Linked DNA regions of Nothobranchius furzeri. The protein of the gene in region 2 interacts with the protein of the main gene of each other region in a biochemical or structural test. Links are inferred from orthologs where the notes say so. Each region holds a gene or a part of one and is shown on either strand. Other genes may lie near its edges.

Evidence for each region.
Region 1: the proteins of ppfia1 (region 2) and git1 form a complex in vitro, tested with the Homo sapiens proteins (2 studies listed by BioGRID). The link is inferred for Nothobranchius furzeri from reciprocal best matches to the Homo sapiens genes PPFIA1 and GIT1.

The regions. Positions count from the first base shown.
Region 1 is NC_091753.1:16,381,859-16,389,381, reverse strand, and holds part of git1 (ARF GTPase-activating protein GIT1), read left to right. Parts: intron 1-2,329; coding exon 2,330-2,416; intron 2,417-2,507; coding exon 2,508-2,638; intron 2,639-2,715; coding exon 2,716-2,810; intron 2,811-2,880; coding exon 2,881-2,923; intron 2,924-3,286; coding exon 3,287-3,313; intron 3,314-3,805; coding exon 3,806-3,854; intron 3,855-7,523. UniProt on the Homo sapiens protein: GTPase-activating protein for ADP ribosylation factor family members, including ARF1.
Region 2 is NC_091749.1:65,249,010-65,256,532, reverse strand, and holds part of ppfia1 (liprin-alpha-1), read left to right. Parts: coding exon 1-56; intron 57-804; coding exon 805-898; intron 899-2,478; coding exon 2,479-2,560; intron 2,561-3,693; coding exon 3,694-3,894; intron 3,895-4,151; coding exon 4,152-4,214; intron 4,215-4,900; coding exon 4,901-4,927; intron 4,928-5,362; coding exon 5,363-5,538; intron 5,539-5,628; coding exon 5,629-5,726; intron 5,727-6,470; coding exon 6,471-6,646; intron 6,647-6,913; coding exon 6,914-6,982; intron 6,983-7,053; coding exon 7,054-7,222; intron 7,223-7,415; coding exon of another isoform or gene 7,416-7,471; exon of another isoform or gene 7,472-7,480; intron 7,481-7,523. UniProt on the Homo sapiens protein: May regulate the disassembly of focal adhesions. May localize receptor-like tyrosine phosphatases type 2A at specific sites on the plasma membrane, possibly regulating their interaction with the extracellular environment and their association with substrates.

The sequences.
Region 1 (7,523 bases), on a different chromosome or scaffold from region 2:
ACTGGTAGATCGCGATCGACGTAATGAGCATCCCTTCTCTTGAGTGACAGTTCAGTGACCCGAAGTGATGTAGCGTCCAAGACTTCTTTTTTTTTTTCACCTTGGTCAACAACATACATTTTGAGCCCCAAACACATTATTTTTGCTGTCTGTAGTGTCTACTCAGGATCCAGAGTGAATAGTGATAATATATTTTATCTTTTCTTAGGCACTCTTGGTTAATCTGTAAGTTAAGCCACTTTTTAAGTTGGTTTTAACCAGACGCTAGCTCACTAGCTAGCTGCTAAGCAAGTCATTGTGCTAGCCTCAGGACAATGGTCTATTGCTGCAGAGAGACGTATTAAAAACTCAAGGCGCCGCCGCAGGCTCTACTGTGTAGCTCTTTGTTGGCGGCGAGGGCAGGTAAGCGATTACTACTGAACACGTCGTCTGGTTAGCTTAATGAGCTAGCAAGATACAGCACCACTAGCTGGTCAGTGACAACAATGAATTTAATATAAACTACATCAGACATTAATGGTCATTATTTGCAAATCATCCTTAAGTTGTTTTGTGTCACCTCACAATTTTTGGTTCAACACATAGTATGCGTAGAAAATAGAAAGCACAATCACACGTGATACTTTTCCTCCTCGCATCACTTCAGAAGCTTGATTTTAAATTACACTTCTATAAAGTTAGGAGAGTTATATCAGAGCACTAGCAGACGAAATGGGTCTTATTGTTAATTACTATTAAACATGGCCTGTTTTTATTTTCTATTGTACTGTATGTAGACTGCATATCAAGTTAATCCAATAATAATTATTCTAGTATGTAATTATTCCAAACCCCATGGCCTGCATGTCAGACAGCTAAATGCCTTGTATAGATACAGAAAATATATGTAAACATGCATAAAATAATAATCCAAAAAAAACTGTCATATACAATAAGGTTAAAAGCACTATATTATGGTCGTATAAGCGTATGTTAGAGCTTGGTTTTATTGTTCACTTGTATGTATATATATATATATATATATATATATATATATATATATGTGTGTGTGTGTGTGTGTGTGTGTGTGTGTGTGTGTGTGTGTCCCAACCACACCTCTCCAGGTCTCACTGTCGTTGCCCACGTGAGCGTTAAAGTCCCCAGCAGAACGAGGGAGTCATTAGAAGGAGCTCCCTCCAGCACTCCCTCCAATGTCTCCAAAAAGGCTGGGTAGTCTGAACTGTAGTTTGGTGTATAAGCACAGACCACAGTCAGAACCCGTCCCCCCGCATGTACTGTAGGCGGAGGGAGGCTATCCTCTCATTCACTGGGGTAAACCCCAACATACAGGCACCAAGATGGGGGCAACTAGTATGCCCACCCCTGCTCGGCGCCTCTCAGTGGGAGCAACTCCAGAGTGGTAGAAAGTCCAATCCCTCTCAAGGAAACTGGTTCCAGAGCCAGATCCATGCGTTGAGGTCATTCCGCATATATCTAGTTGGAATCTGTCAACCTCACACACGTACTCAGGTTCCTTCCCCACCAGAGAGGTGACATTCCACGTGCCAAGAGCCAGCTTCTGTAGCTGAGGATGAGACTGCCAAGATCCCCGCCCTTGACCATCACACACTGCACCCGACCCCTTTGGCCCCTCCAATGAGTGGTGAGCCCATGGGAACGGGGACCCACGTTTCCTCTTTGGGCTGTGCCCAGCCGAGCTCCATGGGTGAAAGCTCGGTCACCAGGCGCTCGCCAACGTGTCCCACCTCCAGGCCTGGCTCCAGATGGGGACCCCGGTGACCCGCTTCCGGGCGAGGGAACAGGATTTTCATTTATATTATTCATCATAAGAGGTCTTTGGGCTGCTCTTTGTCTGATCTCTCACTGAGGACCTGTTTGCCATGGGTGACCCTACCAGAGGCATAAAGCTTCAGACAACTTAGCTCCTAGGATCATTGGAACACTCAAACCCCTCCACCATGTTAAGGTGGCAGCCCAGGGAGGCCTCTTCCAATATGCCAACATTTCTGAGTTTTAGTCTTTTTACAAGCTAAAGTCAGACTTTGTCTTGCACTAAGAGGCTGTTTATGGCTGCAAGTAGTGGGTTCACTGTCGACAGCAGAATAAACCCCAGAGCTTTTTAGTGTGTCCTCTCATGACAACGCACTAAAGGGACCTTTATTAAACATCCTCAGATAAAAGTTGAGCATTGGCACTCTAAGCATGCTCATCTGAACTCTAATAGCAAAATGTTGCTGAGCGTCTTTATTCCCAGCTGGAAGAAAAATAACACACACATATACACACAGGCTTCACACCATCTTCTCTGTTTCATCTTTTCCTCTGCTAGCAACTCCATTCGAGTGTGCGGACAGGAAGTTTAGAGACATGTCTCCGGCTGCTGTCCCTCGGTGCTCAGGCCAACTTCTTCCACCCGGTCAGAAATCTAAGCTTCCAGTGGTACCATTTGAGTTGTGTTCATGGTTTACGGTGTTGTAAGTTCTTAAGTGTGTGTTTTGCTGATGCAGGAGAAGGGCACAACCCCGCTTCATGTAGCAGCCAAGGCGGGCCAGATCCTTCAGGCTGAACTGCTTGTCATCTACGGCGCAGATCCTGGAGCACCTGATATCAACGGGCACACACCTATGGACTCTGCTAGGTACAAATATAAATGCAGCTGACTGATTTCATCATGATATCTGATTTGAAAAACGCACAGATCTGTTTGTTTTTCAGGCAGGCGGGCCATGTAGAGCTAGCAGAGCGCTTGGTGGAGTGTCAGTATGAGCTGACAGATAGGCTAGCTTTCTACCTGTGTGGCCGACGCCCAGGTAACCTCTCGTCCCACAGTCAGTAGCATGGAGTTGTAGCTTTTTACACTGACTTGTTTTCTTTCTTTAGATCACAAAAATGGCCACTATATCATTCCTCAAATGGCTGACAGGTATGGTTTTAATTTGTTTGGGTTAATTTAAATGATTTTTGTAGTTCTCTGATTAATAAAGGCTCCACATTAGTGTTCTTTCGTCTGGTTGGATGATTTGGAAAACCTGTAATTTGGTTTTCTGACTACCAGGGGTCCCAAAGAAATTCCATGTGTGGACTTGCTGTTCAAACATCTTGTGTGGAGGTCCTGAACCTTCAGTTTCTGTGTGGGAGCTGGTTTAACTTCACTTGTTTAGTTCTGGTTCTCCTTGATCATTATAAAAGTTGTTTTCACGTGGCTTCTCTGCCTTCTTCCTGTCTGTTTCTTTCTCTCCTCACTGGTTTCCTGTTCTCTCATTTTTGCTGCGCTTGATGGAGCCAGAGCTCGTCCTAAGTGCCCGACACAAAGGTATCTTTACCTTCCTTGTTTCTCTCTCCTGCTTTTCTCTTCCTTTCTCTCACACTCCCCAACCTTTTGTATGGCTCCCCGTTTTGTTTCTTGTGAAGCTGATTTGTTAAAAATAAACAGCGTCTTGTGTAAGAGGCAGAGTTTAAAGGTCCTCCTGAGAACAAGGTGGTGTGCTTAGAAGTCCACCGGGAAAACCCTTTTCATCCTCATTTATCCACAATGACTTCCAGGACAAGGCAAAAACAAGAATTTCTTCTGAATATATTAAGAATTTAATTTCAGATGAGTTTGTTTATGAAACAGGATTTTAGCAGAAGAAAGTGAGTTTACAGCAGCAGGTGTCTGAGTAATTGCAGGGGGCAGGAGATAAATCACCCCATCCCCCCAATTGCATTGTTGGCCCTATCTCCTGGTTTCCTACCCATTTCCTCTCTATTGTCTGTCTTCTGCTCATCTATAAAAAAAAATTTACAACTGGCTTTGTTCTTTCAGTTTGGACCTCTCTGAATTGGCCAAAGCTGCCAAGAAGAAGCTCCAAGCGGTGAGTTTATGTTCCTAATAATACTGACTTGTCCATGTATTAAGTGACAATGTATAGTTTTTACCATTAATTAAATGATGCCCAGGTGTTGGAAAATGTTTGCGGCTTCTAGGGCTGGGCGATACGGAACAAAACTTATATCTCTATCTTTTAGCTGAATTCCAATATACGATATATATCTGGATATTTTTCCTCCTGTAAAATATTTACAAGTTAACTCACTTCAAGCTGTCTTGAGAAATTATAAACATAAATCAGTAGATTAAATGCATAAAAATGTATTGATTCTTGTCAAACTTTAACCTTAGTGCCTATTGTCTGGTACAGCTGTCTGCTAACACACACACACACACACACATACACAATTGAGAGCTAGAGGTGTATCAAATGTCCCACAGGCACTTTTTAATTATAAATTTATAATTATTGTAAAATTGTTTAAATGTCATCTAGAGGTGGCCATATCGTTTATTTCTTGTCCAGAGGAAAAAAAAATCTATCATGTTAAGCTAAGTTTATGATGATGCAATTGTATCTACTGAAGATCTCATGGGTCATGCACCGTGGAGTTATTAGTTATCAGGGCAAACATGGCTGGAGTCCAACAGTATTGGCTCATATCAGCGATTATACTGTAATGACTCAGAGTCTCTGATTGCTCTCTTATCAGTATTATAACCCTAACCCTAACCCATACTGAGTATTTACTAGCATAGCAAACCGGAAAAAAATGGAACCGGAACAATATTTCTCACCCGTTGAGCTCCCCTTCAAAATAAAACGTTAACCCTATAGTTTACTATTGAAATCCTTACAATACATTTGAGGTAATTTGGCCACTCCGGCTATCTGTAGATTTTCCCCGATTACACAGGGGAGGGAGGGGTTTAGCTCGTCTCCGCACGAGCAGGATGGAAAAACAGAACTCCGTTGGCATTGAACGTCCCTCAATAATTAAAAACCAGAACGCCAAATGCAAAGTTTAGAGCAGCACATTTACCCAGAGGCTCTCAGATTGAGCAAACTTGTGAGAATATATGTAATAACCGCTTAGAGACGGAGCAACATGTCGCTAGCATAGTGGCTAATCGCTAGCATTGCAGTTTGGCCAGTTATATCGATATGAAGATATAAAGTCATCTTGTTTCTTGTTTAAAAATTATATCCATATTTTAAAAATATCTATATATCGCCCAGCCCTAGCGGCTTCATAACATGTAAACAAAAATATCAGGTTTAAAAAACACAGGACCTTGTCTCAGTCTATGGGCGACGCCACATTAGACTCAATGTTTACATCTACGTCAATGCCAATGAGGACAAAACGCATTCACTGATTTGTTACAAGCCGTTTATAAACATTTTTGTTTTACACATTTGCCTCTTTGCTCGTTGCATGGGATGAAAGGGAGTCTGATGTGCTTGTCATTTTGCCGGAGTTTAAATTATTTGATTAAGAACTCTGTCAAAAAATGCGCTCCCAGGGATTTTTGACCCTAATGGACATCCGTTGGTAAGGTTTTACCTGGACAAGAAAATACCACTTGCTGGAAATGATTTTGGTATGTGCTGCCCCTACCACCAGGAGAAGTACATCTCATCACTTTAATGCGTCAGGCTTTATAGACCATCCATCCATCCTTTGTCCACATATCCGGGGTCGAGCCATGGGGCAGTAACCTAAGTAGAGAGGCCGAGATTTCCCTCTCCCCAGCCAATTGAACCAGCTCCTCCAGGGGAATCCCAAGGTGTCCCCTGGCCAGCCGAGAGACATGGTCCCTCCAGCATGTCCTAGGTCTTCCCTAGGGTCTCCTCCTGGTTGGACATGCCTGGAAAACTTCATCAGTGATGTGTCCAGGAGATATTCTAACCAGATGTCTGAGCCACCTCAACTGGCTCCTCTCAATGTGGAGGAGCAGCGGGCCTATTCCGAGCCCCTCTCAAATGGCCGAGCTTCTCACCCTATCTCTAAGGGAGAGCCCAGACACCCTTCGGAGATAACTCGTATTGGCCGCTTGTATCCGTGATCTAATTCTTTTGGTCACTACCCTAAGCTTGTGACCATAGATGAGGGTTGGAGCACTTATCAACCAGTAAACCAAGAGGATTGCCTTCTGACTCAGCTCGCTCTGCACCACTACATGCTGTTACAATGTCCACATCACTGCAGACACTACATGTTCTGATGAAGACAACGGGACCACATCATCCGCAAAAAGCAGAGACCTGATCCTTAGGCCACCAACACGGATTTTCTTAACACCTTGGCTGTGCCTAGAAATCCTGTCCATAAAAATTATGAATAGTGTAACAATAAAGAGTGAGGTAACTATCTAATATTGTGTATTTATAACACTGTAATTAGATCTAGTTTTATAATCAGAAGATGGGCTGTTTTTATCATCAGGGATTTTAATTAAACACTCTGTATTGACTTTGAGACAAGAAAAGAGAGAGAGTTGGGATCGTTTAAGAATCTTTAATTTCTTAATTATAAATTCTTAACAATCTACCAGGACTAACTCTGTGTTGTTTGGAAATGAATGTGATGTTCGATGTGTGTGTGTGTGTGTGTGTGTGTGTGTGTGTGTGTGTGTGTGTGTGTGTGTGTGTGTGTGTGTGTGGTTGGTTCAGACTCCTTAGGCTGACGTCCTTGAATCTGGTAGTCTGATTGTTATGACTAGATATCACGAGGCTTATAAAGTGATGACATGAGCTGCTATTTTGCCGTGTACGTACCCAGTGGGGGCCTCCCGGGTAGATCAGGAAATGCCAGGTCTGAAGTCCTCGGATGTGCGCTGGAGCTGGTCGAAACAGCGATCGCAGCGTTTCAAAGCCCGTCTGAAGGGTCGACCCAGGTAACAATCGGCAGCGTCAGCAGGTGCTCTTATTTTGAAAGGATGTCGTCTGGTTGTTAAACGACGAAAATCTCCAACTTCACAGTTCTTAGTTTAAAGAAGAAAACACATCTGGCCAGGCTGTGCTTCTCTTTGGGATGACGGTGAATAGAACTGAAGTCAAAATGGAACTGAGCTTAAAATGGCGTTGCCTTGTTTTATATCTCTGAATTGTTGATAAGTTTTAGTAAAGCGGATTGGACACTTTAAGTCAACAAGCCAGATTCTCTTGCGGCAGCCGAAAGCTTTGATTGGTTGGAACAATGTGTCATGCGTTTCTATGGAGATGAGGGTCAGTCTGTCTGTGCAGTAGTCCTGTTTTCATTAAACACATAAATCATGACATCTTTATTCCACAGATCATTCACTTGATTATTATTGATCAACATATGTTTCGAATAGCTTTAATCACAAATTAAGTGCTTTGATTATTGAAAAGCGTTCTTCTTCTCCTTCTGGCTCTTCTCCTGGAATGTAAACAGTCTGAGGAACACCCGACCTTGGCGTTTTCTACACGGGCGTTACTGTGTACAGGGGCAGCTGTGTGGAGCTGAAAATAATTAACTTCATAACGTTACATATCCCCCCTTTTCAAGGTCAATGTGGTCCTTCAAGAGACCACTTGGTCGTTGAACAAACCCAAGTTATGAAGAATCTTGACAACAGAACAGGATGCGATCCCAAGGGAACAGCCATCTGTGGTGAGGTACGAACCCCACGCCGAAGAACAGTCTCGCATACTCCTCAGGAAGAACACAAGTCAGCAGGTTAT
Region 2 (7,523 bases):
TGGGAAGAAAGAGAAGGGCCGACCCAGCGTACCAGGCAAGGATTCGCCCAGCCAAGGTTAGGCGGCATTCACAGTCACATGATTATCAGTCAGAAACTAGGATTACGTTTGTTTGTTTGTTTGTTTATTTATTTTTTCAGTTATTATTTAGTGGAGTCCGCTCGTCTAGATGAGTATCACCATCACTTTTTATATCCGAACGTGTCGTTCTGCTCGGGTCTTTAATAACCTCTCGTCTCTGCTGCTGCTGACGTGTTTCTGTGAGGACGTTAGATAAAAGTGAGGCTAACGCCAGCTCACTTCCTGTCTATTCTGATGAAACCTTGTTGACAACTCACTGAAAAGTTTCCTTAAATTATGTATGTTGTTGGGACGTTAATCTGCCGTAATCATGAATGTGTAATCCTGCAGCGATCCTCCTCCCCTCGGCTCACCGGAACACGTTCCATCATGCAGCTAAAATGCGTCGCTCGTTCACCGGAACGTCTCTGTTAAGTGTGATTAAGAAATTCACTAACGTAAAATTACACCAGTCCATTTTTACTATAAATATTATTTTTAATGTCCAGTGCTCTGTGGTCTTCCTGCATTTTTGTGAGCTTATGGAGCAATCCATCCCATAATAACTAATAACGTCAGAAGACACAGCTGGCATCTGTTAGAAACACAACTCTGATCTTTGAAATACTTTATGAATTAGTTTCTTCATAGGGAGAGACATATCCGTTTCCCTCTGGCTGCATCGAGTCTGAACCGACCATCCGTCGGTTTTAGTAAAATCCTAAACACGTTTTTTGTTGCCAGCTGGCACGCCAGAGGCAGAAAGCTCCCCAAAGGATGGACTGGGAATGGGAACACTCGGAGGTCCTTCAGAGAAGAACCGGAAGCTGCAGAAGAAGTGAGTTTGTTCTCCTTTCACTTCCTGTAGCGCGTTTGTATATTGAGACGAAGGCTGAAAGCTGAGAGAATTCCTGTTAATAATGTAGGAGTCCTCCTGTGTTGCTGCTGTTTGTTCACCCCCCCACCCCCACCTGACTCACCTCTATCAGCTGATCTTCCTCTCACTCCACACCCGTCATTCCCATCACAACCACCACCTAATTCCATGTTTTCCCTTTTGTTTGAGGTTTGATGCAGCTGTAATTCCAGCACCAGAAATGTTGTTTTGCTTCCATAAATTATCATCTGTTCATTTTTTCTTTTTTTCTGCCAACTTTTTTTCTTTTTCTTCTTCTTTTTTTTTTTTTTTTTTTTTTACCATCCTCTTCTCATTCCACGTGTAGTCCAAAGACTGGGTAAGTTGGTTCACGTTGCCTAGTCTTGCCTGATCTTCTTTCCTCTCCTGGCTTCACGTTTATCTCACCAGTAACTCTTCAGGACCCAAACAGCCGTCCCTCTGAATGCCTGACAGCTTTTCCGTGCTGCTCTTTTCCTGCTTCCCACACTGGAGCCGAACTAACAGGAATGTGTGTGTTCTGCTGTTTAACCAGTGCTCTCCTCCCGGAGCATGACGTTCCATACCACTAAGGAGGATTTCATGTGTTCTGATGTTGGAATTAAATAAAGTTCTTGTTTAGTCGATTTTGTGGTTGATAGGAGCCAACAGCCCCACCTAGTGGTCACCCATGAGATGTGTCTGGGCTCAGGATTGATGTGGAGCAGCAGCTCAGAACGTGCATGAAGTGGATGTGATCCGACCCTTGTTCTTCCTCCTGTGCATGTCGTGTCCCTGCAGATTTAGAGGAATGTTGTTATTAAACTGCTGGTTCTGACCGGTTCTGTTCCTTCAACCTGATATAAAATCCAGTTTTCTGCCTGTGGAGGCTCAGAGCTTCTGAAGGTGTTTAAACAAAGACCTCCAAGATGTTTCTGTCAGAGCTTTCCTGTTTGTTTGAGCTTTTCTGGGTTTTATTTCCTGTTCCTGGTTTCTTACGTGCATGTGACCTGGATGTTTCTGGGTTTGGGTTCAAAAGGTGAATGTGACGGAGTGCAATGTGGGAGAATTGTAGATTTTTGAAGTAATCCAAGTGTCACTGGTTCTTCCTACCTTCAGCTGGCAATCAAAAGTGATTTGGGTTTTTGTTTATAAAACCCAAATAGATCCCGACCCAAAGGAGACCGTGAGCTGTCTTCTGATTCAAACAGGAAGATTTTCATTGAGTTTCAGATTTTTTTGTAGATTAGATTAAATGAAGTTGCCTTTCAAAATAAAAGCCCAAAAATGATATTTAAGTATTAAAAATGTGATGGCCGATTGGCTGCAGTTTATTAAATATTGAAATTAGGTCTCATTTCTCTTTATTCAGCCTGAGATGGAAAATCTGAAGAATGAAAAAAAAAAAACATTTTGGTATCAAATTAAACTTGACTAAATAAAAAGTCTATTTGATTGTCTTTTGAAACCATAAAGGATGAATGATTGACAGAATGATGCTGTATGTGTTTGTTTCTGGGTTTAATATTTTATTTGTGTGACAGACACGAGTTACTGGAAGAAGCTCGAAGGCAGGGCGTCCCGTTCGCTCAGTGGGACGGCCCGACCGTCGTGGCCTGGTTGGAGGTACGAACCAGTATTGCAAGGCTCTTAAACCGGTTTAAAGTGTCCAACTGAGGTCGTCCCCATGTGTAGGACTCGTTTGTGTTTGTAAATATAAACTTATGAAAAGGCAGTAGAAACTGGCGTGAAGTAAAAGATTTTTTGTTTTCGCTTTCTGATTTAGAATTTCAGATTAGAAATGTGTGGAACTCATTTTTTATTTTATGGAGTGACTTTGACTCCGAATAAAAAACTAAACCTGAGTTTTAGATTTCACGATCGTATTAAAGGTGTGGCTCATTCATTTAATCAACACATGTGTAGTGCCATGTAAGTCGTACTCTGGGGAAACAAAGCTCCGGTGCACCAGTTTTTCTGGAACTAAAAGTGAGCCACTTCAGAGTTGAGCTTCAGATGGCAGGGTTTGGAGTCCTGTTTCCTGAAATGTAGATATCTCTCCTCTGATTGGCTAACAGCAGTGCAACTCTACCACTGACTCTTTGCTTTGCAACGTTCATGTTTTATCTCCACAAATAACACAAAGCTGGAGGAGCTCTGCTGTGTGGTGGAGTTGCTAATGCTAACAGTTTGCTTCTACTAGCTGAGACGTTCTCTGCTGTTTCCTGGATGCTAAACCAGCAACAGCCTTCCCCGTCGTGAGTCAAGATGAATGTTAAGTGACAGTGTGACACAGATCTGTCAGGATTATCTAATCCTAGAGTTTCGCCGTCTATTTTCTATCAGAAGCTAATGCAGGAGATAGATGTAGGAGACTATTTTCATGTTCAGCCTGCTTAAAAACAGTGGCAGATAATAATCAGAAATAACCATTTAAAATGGGGTTTCAGTGTTCCACACCTTTAATTTTACAGCTCTGAACGTCCACAAATCTGCCTATTTATCGTAAAAGTTTAATTAAGTTTAATCATTAATTCAAACTCGTTGGATTGTGCCTCTTGATTTGTATGAAGTGAAGGGAACATCCTGCAGAGCAGCTTCCGATGAGGAAGAACATAAAACCAGTTTCAGGACGTGGATTTTTTGACACCTTCAGATCCAGAAGTCACCACGTAGATCCGATCCTAAGCAGCTGGAAGCACAAATGTTAACAATAATCTCGTCTGACCCATCCGGTTCTTCTGTCCTCTCCGGTCCAGCTGTGGGTCGGCATGCCGGCCTGGTACGTGGCCGCGTGTCGAGCCAACGTGAAGAGCGGAGCCATCATGTCGGCGCTGTCCGACACGGAGATCCAACGAGAAATCGGAATCAGCAACCCATTACATCGTCTGAAACTCCGCCTGGCCATCCAGGAAATCATGTCCCTCACCAGCCCCTCAGCCCCGCCCACATCCCGAACGGTACCATTATGATCACACACACACACACACACACACACACACACACACACACACACACACACACACACACACAAGCATGAGACTTTTTTGTTTATTAACATTTTAACAAACTAATGATTGAGTCAAACTAATTAATTTCTATTCTTTTTCTAACAAACAAATTCTTCTTGATTTTCCCTCCGTCCTGCTTCTTTCCTGTCCATCATCCCTCTTTCTTTTTTGCACACTTGGGATGGGGGCGGGGGTGAAATGATCAGACCACAGGAAACGTTTGGGTCACACACGAAGAGATGGAGAGTTTGGCAGCAACGCCTCCGACGGTCAGTCCGGCCCAGATCAGCTGGGCTCTCTCTCTCTTCACTCGTTAGAGCGGGCGCCTCGATTTAAGCTAACCACACAACAGCCAGACATTACTAATCAATCAGCAGATCAACAGACTTGCGTGGTGCAGGCTTAAACGAGGCGTCGCTCTTTCAGCTATCTTTTCTTTGTGTTTCTGTCAGACCTCATGTGTCTGTATGTGCATGTGTATGTGCACGCTTATGTGTATTTGTGCATGTGTGTGTGTTTCTGCTTTCATTGGGGGTATTTAGTGTAGACATGTGCTTGTTAGTTAGCTGCCCACCGCTCTGATAGCTGAATTTTCTTGTTTTTTGTTCGTTTTAGTTTATAAACATCATCTCTGGGGGATCAGATCCTTCCACAAAAGCTCTTTTCAGACAGGCAATGCTTTAATTCAGACAACATAACCTGTGGTCATCCCTGTGTAAATGTTGAAAAGCCTCATGTCTGAAAGGAGCTTTGATCAGTTTTAAGTTAAAAATCAAACAAACTCTTTGTGTAATTAGAATTTGGCTCCTGATTTTATCTCCTTAATTTTATTTTACTCAGATTTAGTTTAGATTTTATTATTTCCTGGTGAATCGGCTCTAAGCAGCAGCGCCGCCGCCGCCTCCACTAACCGCTCACCTGTCTGTTCTTCTCACCATGCTCACGCTAACACCAGGAGGATGAGGAGGGCAGCTGGGCCCAGGTTTGCACACGACCCCCACCCCTCCACCCCCCACCTGTTCAACTTAACTCACCTTGTTTACACGTATCTGACACATGTTCACCATCACATCTAATCAGCCTCTTTTGGCTTATTTTAAAATGGTTGGTGCTGCTGTAACGGGTGAATTTCCCCAGTGTGGGATCAATAAAGTCTATTCTATTCTATTTAAATATATAAAATCTCCATAAACAGACTAAATATGAAACATTTCCTGATTACAACTGAACTAGTCATCCTTTTTGTGTTTGATGCAGTTCAGTGTAGGAACAGCTGAGTGTCACCATGGAGACAATAATCAGAACATCTTTAGTTCTGTTTAAAAACACTAAACCATCAGTAACAGTAATTTCAACGTTTCAGTTATTTATTTGATCCATACCTTCATGTCTGACCAAAGCTCCTCTCTGGCTGCAGACGCTGGCGTATGGAGACATGAACCATGAGTGGATCGGTAACGAGTGGCTGCCCAGTCTGGGTTTGCCCCAGTACCGGTCCTACTTCATGGAGTCCCTGGTGGACGCCCGGATGCTGGATCACCTGACCAAGAAGGACCTAAGAGGTCAGCTGAAGATGGTGGACAGCTTCCACAGGTGAGGAGGGTGGAGTCTCTGTCTGCCGTCTTACAACACAACATCTGAAAGCATAAACCTGTAACAGGTGTGCATATTTATAAATAACAGGAACAGTTTCCAGTGTGGTGTCATGTGTCTGAGGAGGCTGAACTACGACCGGAAGGAGCTGGAAAGCAGGAGAGAGGAGTCCCAGCTGGAACTCAGAGGTGTGTGTGTGTGTGAGTGTGAGATCAGGTTTCCTTTACTGAAGAACGTGAAAAAGTTGCTCAGATTGCAGAAAGGAAGCTGCCATGTTTGAAGACTTCATTCAGACCAAAGCAATCAATCAGTGTAAGCCCCGCCCACTGCCTAATGAGCAGTTTGTCGGAGTACAGCATCACAAAGCATGTAAAAATAAAATTGTACAATAAAAATGTATGATTTTTTTATAAATACAATAAATATCTTTATTAGAGACAGATTATGGATTTAATTCAGATTTTATTAATAACACATTTAATCAGTTATTTAATGCTTTATTTATTTTGTCACCGTTGTTCTCTCTATCCTACCAGCTTTGTTTAAATTGAATAAAAAATGCATCTTTAGACCATGAAACAGTTACCAATGGTTGCACCAACCATAGATTTACATGCTGTTGAAGGTTCTCAGTCATCCAGGTCATGGTAAATAAACCATTTGTAAAAAAAAAAAACAACAAAAAAAAAAAAAACACCTTCAATTATTTTCATCTTAAACACAAAAAGCAGCTGTAGGATCTCTTTAAAGCCTGTGTGAGTCGCTGGTTTCCATCTGAGGGTCTAAAACAGTAGAAGGTTCCTGTCCAAGAGCTCCACGAGGAACCTCCTCTGAGGCTCTTTGGGTGAAGATCACTAGAGGGAGCTCACGTTGGTTCTACAAACACATTTGCTTTGTTCTCCTTAGAAATAAAACATCTGCTGACATTTCAGATGTGTTGGTGTGGTCCAACGAGCGCGTGATCAACTGGATTCAGAGCATCGGCCTCAAAGAGTTCAGCAGCAACCTTTATGAGAGCGGCGTTCACGGGGCGTTGCTGTCCCTGGACGAAAGCTTCGATCACAACACGCTGGCTCTGCTCCTGCAGATCCCCACTCAGAACACGCAGGTATACACACGTTTACGGTTTACCTGTAGCAGCTGATATAGTGGGGGCGAGGTTACATCCTATGTAACTTTTCTAATAAGTGATTTTTATGACTTATTCAAACCTGTTTTAATGGATAATTTTAATACCCGAGAGTTCCTGTCAGAGTTTCCATCCCGTCTCCCTACATCGGCTCCGGGTGTTTCCTCATCCCTGCAGCTGCAGCTCATAGATCTGGATCCTTTATCTGTTTGACACAAGTAGATCTAAGTGTATGTGTCCTTTCAGGCCCGAGCAACTCTGGAGCGGGAGTACACCGGTCTACTGGCCATCGGCACAGACAGGAAGGTGGAAGAGGTGAGAAGAACTAAAGCCTGTGTGTGAAGCTAACTTCCTGCTGGTCTAATGATCAGCCCTCTATCTTCCAGGATGACGATAAGAACTTCCGCCGTGCTCCATCGTGGAGGAAGAAGTTCAGACCCAAAGACATGAGAGGGGTGTCGCTGGGTGTGTCAGACACCCTTCCTGCCAACTTCCGAGTGACGAGTAGCAGCGCGGCGTCTCCCTCAATGCAGCCAAAGAGGAGCCCGATGGACGGTAAGCGGAAGCATCACCGCCTCTTGGTGCATGTCTTTAAAACGCTCCGTCTGCTTGTTTTTTCCCGGAGTAAAACTACCCTGATGGACGTTTCTGCCCCGTTTAACTCTGCTTTGCTGCTCTGCTGGTTCTGTTTGATGCTGTGACTAATGGCACGTCTCTGCATGTGATTTCTGCCAACATGCAAACTCAGGAGGTCAGTCTATACAGAGGCTGGACACGGCCACAGTCAGGACCTACTCTTGTTAACACGCAACGGTAAGATCACACACACCAGCTGTGATTTACTGAGGAGTGTGTA